Linked DNA regions of Kluyveromyces lactis. The main gene of each other region encodes a partner of the protein of the gene in region 2 in a complex. Links are inferred from orthologs where the notes say so. Each region holds a gene or a part of one and is shown on either strand. Other genes may lie near its edges. The genes, in order: TUB4 and SPC98.

Region 1 (7,024 bases), on a different chromosome or scaffold from region 2:
AATACTCCTTACCGGAACCACCGAACTCATTGTTTATTCTATTTTCAATATGTGCTATCTTTACAGGTGGACCTGTCTGTTGGTTAGGATTGAGGGCATCACGATGATCTTCTTCTAGAGTTCTTTTCATAGTATTGTAAAAGCTGTTTTGTTGTATGGACATATCACTGCTTATCACCTGGTGGCTTGCTGCTTGCTTATGTTGTCTTTCATAAGCATCAAATTCAGAAAACACTTTAAGGTAGGCAGATCTTAAAGACGTTGATAAAGAGCTCATAATCCTTCCTGAGTATCCAAGTTCTCTTCCTATTTGGGCCCATAACTTTTTTTGGCAAACAGTGTCGAAGCCCCCTCTCAGTTGAACACAGGATCGTAGCCTGTGTAAATCTAACGTCCTCTTGTCTATACTTGGAATTTTGCCTAGTGTTGGATTTCCCTTTATATCTTTTTTTCCCTTATGAAAGCAGTATAAATCATGGTGGAGCTTGAGTCTTTTCTGTAGTTCTACATCATATGAGTTTGTATGCTGCTTTCTAGGCTTGAACCAAAAGTTCTCTGTGTCCAAATTAAAGGCATTGAAGGGTGAGTTATCACAATGATTAAAGTCAATCTTGACAGCACCGAATTGTTTGCCAAGTGGTTCCATTATTCTATAAAGTTCAAATGGCGTGGGAAAATCATCCGTGTTTCCCTTGACCGTGATAGTAGGGATCGATCCCTCTTGAACTGTATAATGAATTCCTGATATGGTACCCTCACTCACAACCCTGGCATTATTGATAACCTTTCCACAATGAATTTGGAGTGGATCGAAAGGTGCATTAGATCTCGTCCTGTGTTGCGTATACAAATATGGGTTGTGAGAGTTGTTATTTTGTGTGAAAGAAGTAGAGGCTGATTGACCGTCTATAACTTTCCTCGGAAGAGTCGTCTTGGAATGGTTGTTTTCAAACTGGTCGGGCACTGGGATTTTCGGTATCAGCGCTTCTGCGACTGAATTGGTAGTAAACTTATTTTTAGAAGTGGTAGAATGACTGGAGGTTTCTCCCTTATCTATTACGTGTTTTCTTTCGTCATTGGCGTACGATATGGTCGTTTGAGCTGGATTCAATAATAACGAAACAGAATTACTTGGCAGTGAGGAAATCTGTTTATGCTCCATGACTAAGAGGAAGTAAATCGTTTCAATTTGTTGCAAAATCCTAGTCTTTGTACAAAATCGATTTGGATTCCCATTGGTTGAGAAGGTCAAGCGAAACACTATCTTACTATGGCCAATAACTGAAAGTTCTTGATGTTATGTTTCACCTCATCCTCAAATTTCGCTTCGTATTGTAGCGCCAATTCATGTTGTCGAAATTAACATTGATATCACGTGGTATAAAAGACTTTTCGATATATGAGATAATGAGATGACGCTTGTATAATGACTAATTTAGGAAGAAATGATGTCGTTCACAACCTCCACATAGGCTTAAAACCTTACGGGAGTTGCACATTTCTGGCAGGCTAAGTTTCGATGGTCTTTTTAGCATATAGAAGGATTATAGTAGTTATAAATTAAATATGTAGCATGCTCTGCTTATCCTTCTGAATATTGTGCAAACAATTGTACACTTAGCAAAAGTACAATTTACCGTTTCCAAATTTTAAGGTTTTAACTTGTGTGACGGGTCATTTCTCCTGCAACTCCGAACTGTACTAGTCACGGTCTTTAAACAAAATTCAAACCGGATATAGGAGCTTGTGAGATTATCATAGGCCCTTTATATGCAAGCTTCAAATCGTTTGCATGCCATTTCTTGTTTTCTATAAGCAAGGAACGTCAGTTTCTTAAGTATCGACACCGAAAACGTCAAAAAGACACAATGTGCTAGGTAAGAATAGAAGTATATAAGTGAGCATGATGCATTTTCCTCGCGCGGAAAAGAATCATTATACAAATTTCAGCTGTGTGGAGTTGTTGTCGTGGTTTGATCAATCCTTAGTAAGCATATGGTCCTGTAAGATATGACAGAATTTCATGGAGTGACAGAGTCCGAAAACAATGAGGAAACTAGAATATACAATTTCGCAGACACTATGAGAAGATTATTAGCACTGCCTGACTATACCGCAAGGTATTTCCATTTTTCAACTAGTGATACCCATAATAACAGTACAGAACCACAGGATCGCAATGAACAACAATCACATGTGCGTTGGAAAATCCAGAAATTACAATGATATTGTCAAAACTGCTTCAGTTTGGCAATTAATGTTCAGCAGCTGAGGAAGTGAGCCCTAGTATAGACAATATTTCATTACTTTAATATAAAATCAGTCAAGTCATGATGTATATTTAAAATAATAGATATAAAATAAAAACGAACTACAAGGAACTTTGAGACCTTATCCCTTGAAAGGAATCGCTGGAGATAAAAAAAAAAAAAAGCAGCGAGAACTGCATGGTTACATTGTTCAACAATCCAACCATGCTGTTAAGAAAAAAACTCGTCGTTAAGGCAATAACATTTTAGATTCAAAATGAGAGCAGACTGCATCATAAAACAGCATTTTAAACTGAAATGTGTTGGTGAATATAAACTTTTCAAATCATTTCGTCATTTCTAATTTACCAGTTATCATTAGAGAACTGGTTGTTTCTTTGACCACCGGTTGCCCCAGAACCGGGATTAGTTCTGGAAGTGTAGTCTTCAGTTCTTGCACCAGAAGGTGTGCCAGGAATATGGGCATTTCCAGCTTTCTGACCAGAGAGACCTTGGCTACCTAGTCCACCTTGTTGTTGACGAGAGCCCTGGCTCGTTTCAAATCCCATTTGCTCGGAAGAGTACTTTTGACGTCCACCACTAGTGTTCGAACCCTGGTTGAAGTCGTCATCATATTCATCGTAGTGGTCTTTAGCTTGAGAGCTCATCTTATTCTTGGATCTGGTTTGACGTCCACCACTTAGTTCATCATCATCGAATCTACCTGTAGATTCTTGCTGAGAACCTCTACCCATTGAACCCATTCCAGATTGTTGAGATGGTTTGTTTGAGTATCCCATGTCGGTTTGACGACCGTGAGATTGTTGTTGAGAGTTTAATCTGTTTCCTTGTTCATCGACTCTTTGGTCATTGTTATCATCACCGGTTAACTTGTCAGCGAATTTGTGTAGAATGTTAGACATTTTGATATTATAGATGTTCTTGATATTGATTTTCTTGGACAGTGTGATCAATTGATATAATTGAGTGTAGTATAACTCAAACCTTGATCAAGTTGGATTAGAAAGTAAATTCATAAAACACTGCTCTTTTATAAACTGATTTCTGATCCAGGTTTATTCAAAATAGCAAACCTTCTGAGAACGATTTTGCTGGAGCATAGCATCTTACATTAATTGCCATTGATTAGGTAAGTACCCACTAAAGTTTTACGAAATGCTTTAGTGCCCGTGGTGATCCACATCATATTCTTAATTGATGTTCTCGTAAATTCAAGTTCTAGTTCATGGGCAATCAAAAAAGCAGCGAGTGATGTCGTAATTTTACTCAAATACTAACAGTACCATGCTTCTCCGTTGCCCCTTGCGATGTGAAGTATTATTGGATTATATAACCCATAGTATAGCCTTCCTTTTTACAACTCGGTTCAATAAACCACCCACTTTGTTCCAATAATTAGTTTGTCCCCTAAAAATGCTTGATCCGACAATACCTATTCTAGACATATCCCCCATCTACTATGGAGATAATTAGCTCAAAAGAAAAACCTTCATTACCATGTCTCCATAAGCTTCTGCAGTTGTTAAATTAGTTCCTTAACTATTCCGCTCGGTATGCAATGAAACTTCTTATTATGTCACATTGCTATTCTATTTAAAGATATATTGCTACTCGCGTTGGCACTGCCATCTACGCCCTGGAAACATTACTTGAAATTCGTAGCTTCAAGAAGCCTCCATACTGCCATTTTGTACCATGATTGAATTTTTGCATGTCACACAGTGACGAGCCTCATCTACTGGTGCCAATAGCAACCATACCTCGTTTAAGGCAAAACTCAGAAACCAGGCCCCTTCTTAATCTTCCCTTAATTCTCTCTGAATTGAAATTTCATGTTGAGATGTTCTAGATTGTGTCTTACATAAATATGTTACCCGGATCTGTTGATAGTTCGCGAAAACTGTAAACAAATACAAAACACAGGTTGGATCTGGGAAATCGCATTTAATAAAGCGGTGACGTTATGTCGGATTGATTTTAGAATTTACGCCATCAGGTTGCTTTGCTTTGTCCGTAGCTTGGTGAGTTTTTTTTTGTGATGACTGGTGAAGTAATTACTTTGCAAGTTGGCCAGTGCGGGAACCAAGTTGGGCGAGAGTTCTGGTCACAATTGGCGAAAGAGCATGGAATTGGACAAGATGGTCTAAGTTTGCAAGAAGATTCTCCCACAGCCGTTAGAGAAGACCATCCAGTGACTTTTTTCAAACAAAACGATTCAAATCGGTACACTCCACGTGCATTACTTTTCGATTTAGAGCCCAGTATTATCAACGATATACGAAACAGTTTCCCAGGTTTTTTTAACGAAAGAAACGTTTGGGTGTCGCAGGATAATTTAGGAGCTGGTAATACATGGTCGATAGGTTACGACTATGGTACAGAAAATCAAGACCAATTTATAAATATGATTGATAGAGAAATAGATGCGACAGAAAATTTTGAAGCGTTCCAATTGATCCATTCAGTCGCTGGTGGTACAGGATCAGGTTTAGGATCGAATTTATTGGAGTTATTGGCCGATAGCTATCATAAGAAGCTCGTCACCACGTATTCAGTGTTCCCCAGCGATGAATCCGAAGTTGTGGTTCAACCATACAACACCATGCTTACTTTGAGGCGACTAATAGAAGATAGTGATGCGTCGGTGGTGTTTGATAACAATGCGCTTTCAAATATTACGGCAAGAATTTTAAGGGATTCTAATGTCAGTTATGCACAATCGAATCAGGTGATATCGACTGTTATGTCTTCCATAACGAATAGCATACGGTTCCCCAGTTATATGTTCAGTTCGCTACCAAGCATTTTCTCCACCATCGTACCCACGCCCGACATGCATTTCCTAGTTCCAAGCTTCACCTCTTTCACCACCGATTTCATACCCGAGGCAAAAAATCTCAAGAGAAGTACAGGTTATGATGTAATACTAGATTTATTTGATGCCAACAATTCGATGGTTACCCATTCTGCAGACGATCCTGTGTATATCGCCATATACTCTCTATTACAGGGATCGGTAGAACAATCAGATATTACCAGAGGTATCTTAAAGACTCAAAAAAGAGTTCAATTTGCCCCATGGTCGAAAAGCTCACTACACGTCAACATTGGTAAAAAATCGCCATACAACAAAACTTCTAACTCCGACTATGTGAGCGGGCTCATACTTTCGAATACCACGGCAGTGAATTCACTTCTTAAGAAAACATGCAATAGTTTCGATACGATTTTCAACAGAGGTGCTTTCTTACACAAGTTTCAAAATGGGAGAGTGTTTGAAAATGGTTGGGATGAATTTAAAGAAAGTCGTGAAGTCGTACAATCGGTAATTGACGAATACACATATGCTGCTCAGGATTCATACATTGATGATATTCTACTCGAAGAGAACATGCTAGTCGGTAATGATGATGGTGCAATGGACATCAATGACGACAATATCATATAAACATGGGTGAGAGCTTGCTAAAATCGCTTTACTATTTTTTACGAATTTCTGTGCCAATTTAATTATTTATTAATTGTGTATTTAATTAACGGATTGTAATGAGGAAATTATGCAGCAGATCAGAGTTCTGCAGGCTTGTGAAGATTTTACTTTTTTTAGTATTAATAACAATTAATATTACCCTTTAATATTACATGCAATTGTCTCGATGCTCATACTTTAGCTATTGCTAGCTTTCGGTCACTTCCCTGCCTATGTCTAACCTTTCTGGATGGTGGAGGTGGGGGAGGAGTTTGTTGATTAGATTTATGATTGATAGAGTCGGCAGAGTATGAGTTCTGTAAGTTACTATAGAGGTGAGGAGTAGTTGACATCACTGGCTCCAAAGGAGTGTTACTTGTAGACTTTTGACTTATACTTGACCTTCTACTCTCTTCGCTGTCATTTTGATCGGATGAAAATTGGTTTTCTTGCTCGAGCCATTTGACTTCGTGTAGACATTTTGCTGCTAACCTGGCGGTGGTCTTCTGTAGAGGGGTTGCCTTCTCAATAGAACAGAAATTATCTACATCAGAAAAGAATTTTAAAGTCGTAGAAATTTCACTTCTGTGATACTTCGTGGCTGCTAGTTCCGTATTGTTCAACAATGGAGTTAGAACTCTTAAATATGTGTTTCTTAAAATTTCTTCGTTATCAGATATGTTGTTCAAGTTTCTCAATAGCACATCAACGAAAACATGCAAGTCATTCAAGTAAAAGAAATCCTTAGCCACTTTTAAATCTTTAGTCAATATTATATATATGACTTTGCAGATCATTATCAATAAAGAGGTGTCAGTTTCTCTATTAAATTTTAATAAAAGCAACCCAATGAAATCCTTGGACATGTTGTGGTTCAATAAAAACTCATAAGCCTTGTTTTCGATATCAAATTCGTACTGAAAAATCATATATTGTTCATTGAGGGCAAGTAGAAGCTTAAACTTGACATTGTTTAAAATGTCGTCAACAACATCTGATCTTATGCTGCTGACGAGATAGTAAATAAAGAAATCATCAATCATTTGAATATTGGAAATCTGACATTTCGAGTACTTGAAGAATTGATACATGATATCAATCAGTATAGTAGTCAAGTGTTTAATGTCTTCAATGATTTCAAGATTTGTGTCTTTTTTTGGATCTTCTTGGGCTTTGTCATGATATTCATTTGCCTGGTATGGGACACCAGTATATTCATCGCCGTACTTATTAAGATACGCAAAGTTGCTGTAAATATTGTTATAGAGAACTAGGAACCCCTGAT
Region 2 (7,719 bases):
TGTGTGAAATACTCAAATTAATAAACCACCCACAAACAATAATTTTACACGCGCTTATTCTGCTTAGTACCTGAACTGATCAGAGGCCAGCTTCTCGATTGAATTCAATTTTGAGTAATTCAATCGCACAAAGAAATGCTACCTTATCATATTTCTTCATTGACTTACTTTGAACTACTATTTTCAGCTAGTTGAAATACAGACTTGAAAATGGTCTGTGCGTGATCATAATGGAAACGGTAGTTACCACAGCAATCTAATGCAGCCATGTTCATACTAAAATAATGATGAAAATGAATCTTAAAAAAAAAGAATTATACTACTCTAAGATAAACGCAACAATAAATAAGGTGGAGTTTCGATGAGGAAAAGGTAACGAAGTTAGCGAATATTCCTCGAATTCCTAAAATATGAGTAATTGAATGACACATTGGTTTCTTTTTGCCAAGGTGTTCTACTAAGAAAGAGGATCGGTATTATTTTCTTACGCTGTTGCAGCTTCAGTGATCTCCTTTAGGTAACCGAGTTATATGAAATAAGGAATTAGCTGAATTTCTTTAGTCATCACATATATAAAAGCCAGCTCTGAAGAAAAAATAAAAATTTCTGGAAGAACATAGCCAACTCATTTAAAGAATCTTCTACTGAACCTGGTGACCTCATATTTTCTGATGAGACCAACAGAATCTAATACGTCGGAGATTGATTCCATTTCTTCTGCTAGTGACGTTTCTCATATTTTGTCTGACCCGCATGGATTTGTACCGAAATCCAAAAAGAGTCAACTGGCAGATTCAGACCAACGTATCACTAGAAGGCTTTCTGAGCCTTCTAGTATCAAGACAGCGGACACAGGACGGTCTACTATCATTACTGGTATTTCAAGAACTGTTACGAGGACTTTGAGCACGATCAAGAAGGCGGTTGATGATGATAATTTACAAGCCGACAATAACACCGACGATTTAAACAAATTGTTGGAAAGAAATTTTGATATTGATGATGCATTACGGTTGACAGAAACAGCTAAGAGAACTGACAGTCGTTACACCACCAACACTAATACTAATACTAATGCCAATGCTGTTAATGCTAAGGGTTCAGATAAATGGTTTGATCAAACCTCTGATAGTGAAGGTGAATATCGATCGGAAGTTCCGGTTGAACTAGCCGGTGATGATGAAGGCCAGACACTTAATAAAGTCTTTACCAACAAGGAGACCAACACTTTGGATCTTCCACCAGAGGGAGGATACGGTTGGGTGTGTTGTCTTTGTGTCACACTTGTTATGTTTTCCACTTGGGGTTGTAATTCGGCGTTTGGTGTGTTTCTAGCATTTTACTTGAACAATTCAAGCTTTCCAGGTGCTAGTAAATATGACTATGCATTAATTGCAGGTATGACTGTATTCTTTGGGCAAGGGTTACCTCCGTTTGTTCTCTTATTTATGAGAATCTTTGGTTTAAAAATTCCAATGTATTTCGGTATTGTGATTATGTGCTTGGGTTTCGTTTTAGCCAGTTATGCTGTGTCATTATGGCAACTATATTTGACTCAAGGTTTCCTTAGTGGCGTCGGCATTTCGTTTATTTTCGCTCCTGCCACTACCGTTTTGCCTGGGTGGTTTCTTAAAAAAAGATCATTTGCAATGGGTTTATCATTGATTGGAACAGGAGCAGGTGGTGTTGCATACTCTCTAGCGGTTAATAAAATGATAGAAAATACCGGTAATCAGAGATTTGCATTAAGAATCCTTGCTATCACTTGCAGCATAACTTGTGTAGTAGCAACCCTTTTGCTACGTCAGAGAGTTCCAATGAAGGCTACTGGGATCAGAAATTGGAAAGCAATCAAGCAACACTGTAATGATATGTTCTCGATGCACATATTCAAAAAATGGACAGTTCAATTAATTGCAATGTGGTTCATGTTTGCATTATTTGGATATACTTTAATGATATTTACTTTATCCTCATACGCTGTTGCTAACGGCTTGACTGCTCATCAAGGTTCCTCGCTAACGGCAATCTTGAACGGTGCCCAAAGTGTAGGTAGACCCTTAATTGGATACACAGGGGATAAAATCGGTAGAACGAATATTACTGTTATGCTAACGTTACTTTTAACAATTTTCATGTTCGGTTTTTGGATCCCTGCTGACAGTTATTCATCTTTAATCGGGTTTTCAATATGTGTCGGTCTATGTATTGGTGTAGCTAATGTTATGAACACCGTGCTAGTTGCTGACATCGTTGGACCGGTAGATTTTTTGCCCGCTTGGGGTTATGTTAACTTGGTGGGCTCTCCATTCATGCTTGTTGCTGAAGTTATTGCACAAGCGTTGACTGAACCCAACTCCAACGACCCATATCTCCACACTCAAATATTTGCGGGATGTTGTTTCGTTGCGGCATTACTCCTTATATTGGGATTGCGGGAGGTGACAGCAAAGATAAAGATAAAAGAAAGACAAACGATAAATTTGCAACGGTTAAAGGATTATGATGATTCAAACTTATCAGAAAAAGACAATAACATCTTGAGAGAAAGAGAGATCAAGTATGATTACTTACTTGGATCAGGCATCAAAAGCTACTTTGCAAGAATGTTTTATCCAATGCATGTATAAAACTCTTTCCACAGAGTCATCTATTCTTTTCTTCCGTCTATAAAAGTAGCATTAGTGAAGTATCTTACTTAGTTTATTTATTTCAGTATTTTCATCCCACTTCAAATCCTTGATATAAGCATTGCATTCATTATCAAAATCCTTCCATTGATCAACCAACTTCTTTGAAATTACATTGAATCTCATTATCGGGTCATGCAAATTTTGGTTAGGATCTAAGTTCATCTGAATGCAAATCTCATGAATGACGTTATTTAGCTCAGAGTAATTTAGCACAAACTCATAACTCATATCCATCAATAAAACCAAAGTAGTTGGATACAGCTGATGAGTGTATGTTCCAAGCGAAGCACCTGAACCTGAATATAAAATTGGATGATTCAAAATATTTGATAAGAATACAGAATGAGCTCTTTTTAGATCCTCAAGATCAAATGAAGAATAGCCGCTAACATCATCTGTCGTAAGTTCTTTGAAGTTTTCGATAAAATGAAGATCAGGTTTTAAAACACCGCTTGAGACTTTTACCCCATTTCTAAGCACTTTAACTTTAACCGAGGAGGTTGGATCGGTATCTTTATGATTTAGATTCGAAAGAAGCTTCCTAAATTCATGTTCAATAATACTCTCGAAACAATATGTTTCAACTTTTTTAGTGAAAGATTGAATCTGATTCTTTAAAACATTGATCATTGAAACTTTATTCAGTAAATCCCTAATAAATGGAACCCTGATGTTCAGCTTTCTAAAAAGTTTAAGAATGGATGAATTTTTTTGCCATTCTTGTTCATAATTGTACTCATTCTTTTTAATTCTCCATAAGAAGTTGAAAATTCTCAGATAATCTCTGCGGCTTCCGTGTTGGTTGATATCCATTACTGTTGAAAGAGGCTGATCCACGAGATAGTCTAATGTGAAAACATCCCAACCCGAAGATCCATGTGCTAATTCCAAAATTCTAGCATCAAGCCTATTCACCAAGAGATTGTTATCTGATTTGTTCAATCTATTTCTCAGAGATGATTGTTGAATTGCGATTTGTAGACACTTCGTTAAATGATGGCTTTCTAAAAGTTGAGAAGGTTGGTTGAAGAGATTTTCCGAGTTTTGAATAATAGAATCAATCACATCGCTTTTACCCATTAGAAGGATATCTTTTAAAAGGTTGAGAGTCTCGAAATAATAAAATTTCGATCGTAATGTGGTGTTGATATAGTGGTTAATTTCACCATATTGCTGGTTAACCAATTCGAAAAATTTGTGATCCATTGAAGGGCCTAATAGCCTATATTGCAATGAATACTTATTTGCAAATTTTCCAATCCATTCAACTTCGCTGCAGCAATGTTCGAGATATCGGAGGGACTTTCCAATAATGTATATTTTTTTGGCCACTAAAGACGGTATAAATTTTGGAATTTTCTGTGGCAAGAATACCAATCCCAATGGTTCTTTCTCGTCATTTTGAACAAAAAAGTCACTACTAACATTTGAATCCAGTTTTCCATCAATCAACCAATCGCATATGTTCTTCATGTAGGGTTGTAAAAGACGCTCTAACGCATCAGATGCAAATTTCTCGAGTACTGGATCACCATTACTTTTTTGTAACTGGCATACAGATAGTAATCCCTCTGCACTGCTTTTTTCAAAGTTTTCAATATATTCCATATATGTCCTTAGTTTTAGTACTTCAGGATAGAGGTGTTGATATGTAAAACATAATGGATCGAGTGGATGTAAGTGGGATGAGAAATTGTTGACGAAATTACTATAATCTCGAAGTTTACTTTGAATCAATGTCAAAAATGCTACTTTTAGTGTACTGGTGGTAACATGTTTTTTAAGATATTCCACTCTAATTTGAAGGTGCAAGTAAAGTAAGCCTGCTTCAACGATATCATGCAACTGTTGGCTTTCTCCGTTCGGAATATTGCTGGGTATTGTGAACTTCTTGTCTTTTAGTTCGAATAAAGTAGAGGGTGTTCCCAACACAAGATAGGGTATACTTTTAACGATATCGGCCCTCGATACCATTGTGCTGAAATATGGATCTGATAAGCTTTGTAATGTAGCATCAGATGAACTATGTTGCCAAGCATTTCCCCCATAGGACCCAATTGACCTTCTGTCCGATACCTTCTCAAAATTCTCAAAAGAATCCGCATAGACGCTTTCCGTTGTTTTCCTTTGTATATTTTCTATCACTTCTTTCGACATTGGTTCTCTCATATCATACAACTCATCGTTTTTGTCTAAAAGTGACAAACATTGCAGTAAATATTTATGTTTTTCTTCCGGACTTGAGAGATGGCACATGATGCCGGCAAACATTTCTAAATGAGACCAACTTTTCATGTCCTGATTGCGTTGCACCATTATTTTTTTATAATATTCCAATACTTTTGTGACATTTTCCTTTGATGATGTTTTGATAGAGTAGTAAAGGTCCTGAATTAATTGCTGAGAATACGCACTGCCAGCAGATGCAGGAAGCATGTGTAGTACACATGTGCCAAATTTTTGGTCCATTATTGTTTTTTCCGTTACCCCACAGTAGAGATAGGGGAAGAGGCTCTTTTTCACATCTTTTACCTTTCACTTTAGCGCACAAATCGTTCTTGTTTGTTGATATTTTCACAAAACAATATCGATCTACTGTTGTTGTATCCAATGATGTAAACATAAAGTGAAAAAGGTTGTGAAATAGTCACGTGATTGACTTTGGTGACCATCACAAGGATTGAAGGAAAGACATATGCAGACATACATGTATACATAATATATATATCAATACAGTACATGTATAATACATTTGTTTAACTTATTATTATGCCATATTTTTTAATAAGGAGCAGAGAGTAGTTCAGCCTCCCTTGAAAAGAAAGAGTTAGAGAATTTGTCATCGTACCCGCAATGTTCCATAGTTCTTTTATAGTGATAGAAATTGTAGAATTGCAGCATGGCCCGTAAAGCAATTTCTTGGCCATAGGAATCGTTGATCTCGCCCGTGATATCCTTCCCTGTTATCCAGTTATCTGTTAAATGAAGTTTCTCATGTAAGAACACTCCAGAAATCAATTCCATATGATCTGCCCTCCATCTTTTATTCTTGAATGGTGCCAATTCGTGAATTATCTTTAATATGGGGTGGTATATGTCCAGATTAAAGATAGAATACAATGCCTTGAATATGTTACTAACATTAAGTGGTAGGTCTTTTAGCCTTTGTGTCTTTTTCCCAGTTATTTTGGATAACACTCGTAATAGATACACCTCGGAATTGAGCATTCGGAGATTTAATCTGTTTGCTTTCTCATTTGCGGTTGATATCTCAAGAGTTTCTTTATATTGAACATTGTATAAAGAACATTCACTCCAAAAAGAATGGGTAGGTTGTAAATGTTTAGAGTAAATTCTGTTTTGATATTGATCAGTAAAAGATTGAAGGATGCCTACGCTTGTCGTAATGAACTTTGAATCGTAAATCAACGAGCAAAGATACTCAAATTTAAGAAAGTGGCTAACCTTAAACCATTTTAAAAGGAGGAAAAGTATGGCAGAACTCGATTCCATTGCAATTTCCTTTGATCTTATAAGTTCCAATTGTGGTTGAAGCTCATTAATTTCTTCTTCAGAAAAATCCTCTTCAAGGTATACTTTGTTTGACATACAAGTTTCAATAGTTTCTAATAGAACATATACTAGAGATGAAAAATGGGGTAAAGCATTAGCATAATAATCTTCGATGCGATTCATGGTTTCAGGTTCCTCATTCTGTATACCTCTATACGTGAATGGGTCCTTCTCATGTACCTCAGTGTTTGTCCATCCTCGTTCTTGCACCATAAATAATTCTCTTTCATGCCATAGTTGTTTAGTAGATAGTTTTATATGCACAGATTTTGACAAAATTTCGATTGCTTCTTGCATGTTATACGGTAACACTGTCTCAGGCACCGCAATACTCAGCTTATTACTAAGTTCGTCTACCACACCAGTATCATAGTCACCAGAGGATGGAAAAAATGCTGGATATGATAAATTGGCTTGAAATGACTTCCTCGTTTTCAATCCGTTGGGCGAGCTTGTGGGTGATGCCGGCTGTGATGGTGCAGGCGTTGCCATATGCACTTGTGGCTCTCCCAACGACATGTTAGAACTGCTCCTCGAACGGGGTCTCGGAATCTCTAAAAATTGTGAAAGAGAATTGGGGTTGTCAAGCATGCTAGGATATGTCGGTTCTGGAAGCTGAGAAGATGGAAATCTTGAGGTGATATCTTCCCTAAAAGCAACATATTCCAATGGAGATATTGAAAGATTCGAAGCAGAGGAGTCTTTCTTTTCAATTTTGTGATGTTGAAGAACAAATCTCTTCACTGCGTCATAATGGCTCTCTTCACCAAACTGTAATAGAAGCACTTTATGGAATAAAATAATGATATTTCTTATTCTCATTGAGAGTCGACTTTTCCAACGCCAATGGTCTATATATTTTGTAAGGAAAAGCATCAAGCCAGATGAATGTACGACATCAATAAAATCTTCTACAGCTTTGGTGTGCATGCTTCTTTGCTCAATAGCTATATTGATCATAAAATAAGTGATTGAACCCGAGTAGAACAAAAGAGTATTATATTGTTGCAAATTAGTGTTCTTCACCCTACAACAATCTGCATGTTTCTTAAAGCAAGGTAAGAGTACCTTTGAAATCATCATCAATAGAGTATTATTCCTCCGTAGAATGTCTAAATGATGGAAATAACTGTTCGTTTCCTGAAAAGTTCCGAAAGAAATATACGCCAGACAAAGCAAGGTATTGATATCCACTGAATTTACCTCTAGCTTTTTACCAAGCTCTGTAATAACTTGAATAGCGTATTTACGCTCTTCGATAAATTTCGAACTATCATAGTTTTTTTCAAAGCTCAACTTTGCAGTCTTTAAGCTCCCATAGTCCTTTTGTATGAACCATTCTGATAGTTCGTGAAATAATGAATTAAAATCGGAAGCCTGCCAATCTAACGTAGGCTTGGTAAATGAATGTGAAAGATCACCTCTTTCAATCTCGTCTGCTTTTTCTTGTAAC

What was found.
Region 1: the proteins of SPC98 (region 2) and TUB4 are in contact, whole or in part, in a cryo-EM structure (PDB 7M2W), measured with the Saccharomyces cerevisiae proteins. The link is inferred for Kluyveromyces lactis from reciprocal best matches to the Saccharomyces cerevisiae genes SPC98 and TUB4. Residues at the interface, in NP_014273.1 of Saccharomyces cerevisiae: Lys478, Met483, Gly484, Lys485, Ser486, Asp487, Met489, Asp490, Ile493, Glu494, Leu522, Ser524, Arg526, His527, Leu528, Ser531, Pro532, Arg533, Asn534, Lys594, Asn597, Tyr598, Gln601, Met604, Leu605, Lys606, Asn608, Asp609, Ile611, Arg612; in NP_013313.1 of Saccharomyces cerevisiae: Met1, Gly2, Thr44, Glu45, Arg46, Asp47, Asp48, Asp49, Thr50, Lys51, Asp131, Cys159, Pro163, Lys164, Lys165, Ile166, Glu196, Asp197, Ser198, Asp199, Pro245, Ser246, Tyr247, Met248, Tyr249, Ser250, Ser251, Ser253, Ser254, Tyr256.

What each region holds. Positions count from the first base shown.
Region 1 is NC_006039.1:1,417,372-1,424,395, forward strand, and holds TUB4 (gamma-tubulin), read left to right. Parts: upstream 1-4,308; coding exon 4,309-5,718; downstream 5,719-7,024. Other genes in the region: ECM5 (Ecm5p), read right to left, coding at 1-1,162; KLLA0_C16225g (uncharacterized protein), read right to left, coding at 2,615-3,172; LDB17 (Ldb17p), read right to left, coding at 5,931-7,024. UniProt on the Saccharomyces cerevisiae protein: Tubulin is the major constituent of microtubules. The gamma chain is found at microtubule organizing centers (MTOC) such as the spindle poles or the centrosome, suggesting that it is involved in the minus-end nucleation of microtubule assembly.
Region 2 is NC_006042.1:2,256,336-2,264,054, forward strand, and holds SPC98 (Spc98p), read right to left. Parts: upstream 5,163-7,719; coding exon 2,682-5,162; downstream 1-2,681. Other genes in the region: ESBP6 (Esbp6p), read left to right, coding at 672-2,630; FAR11 (Far11p), read right to left, coding at 5,475-7,719. UniProt on the Saccharomyces cerevisiae protein: Involved in microtubule organization by the microtubule organizing center, the spindle pole body (SPB). Probably part of the microtubule attachment site at the SPB.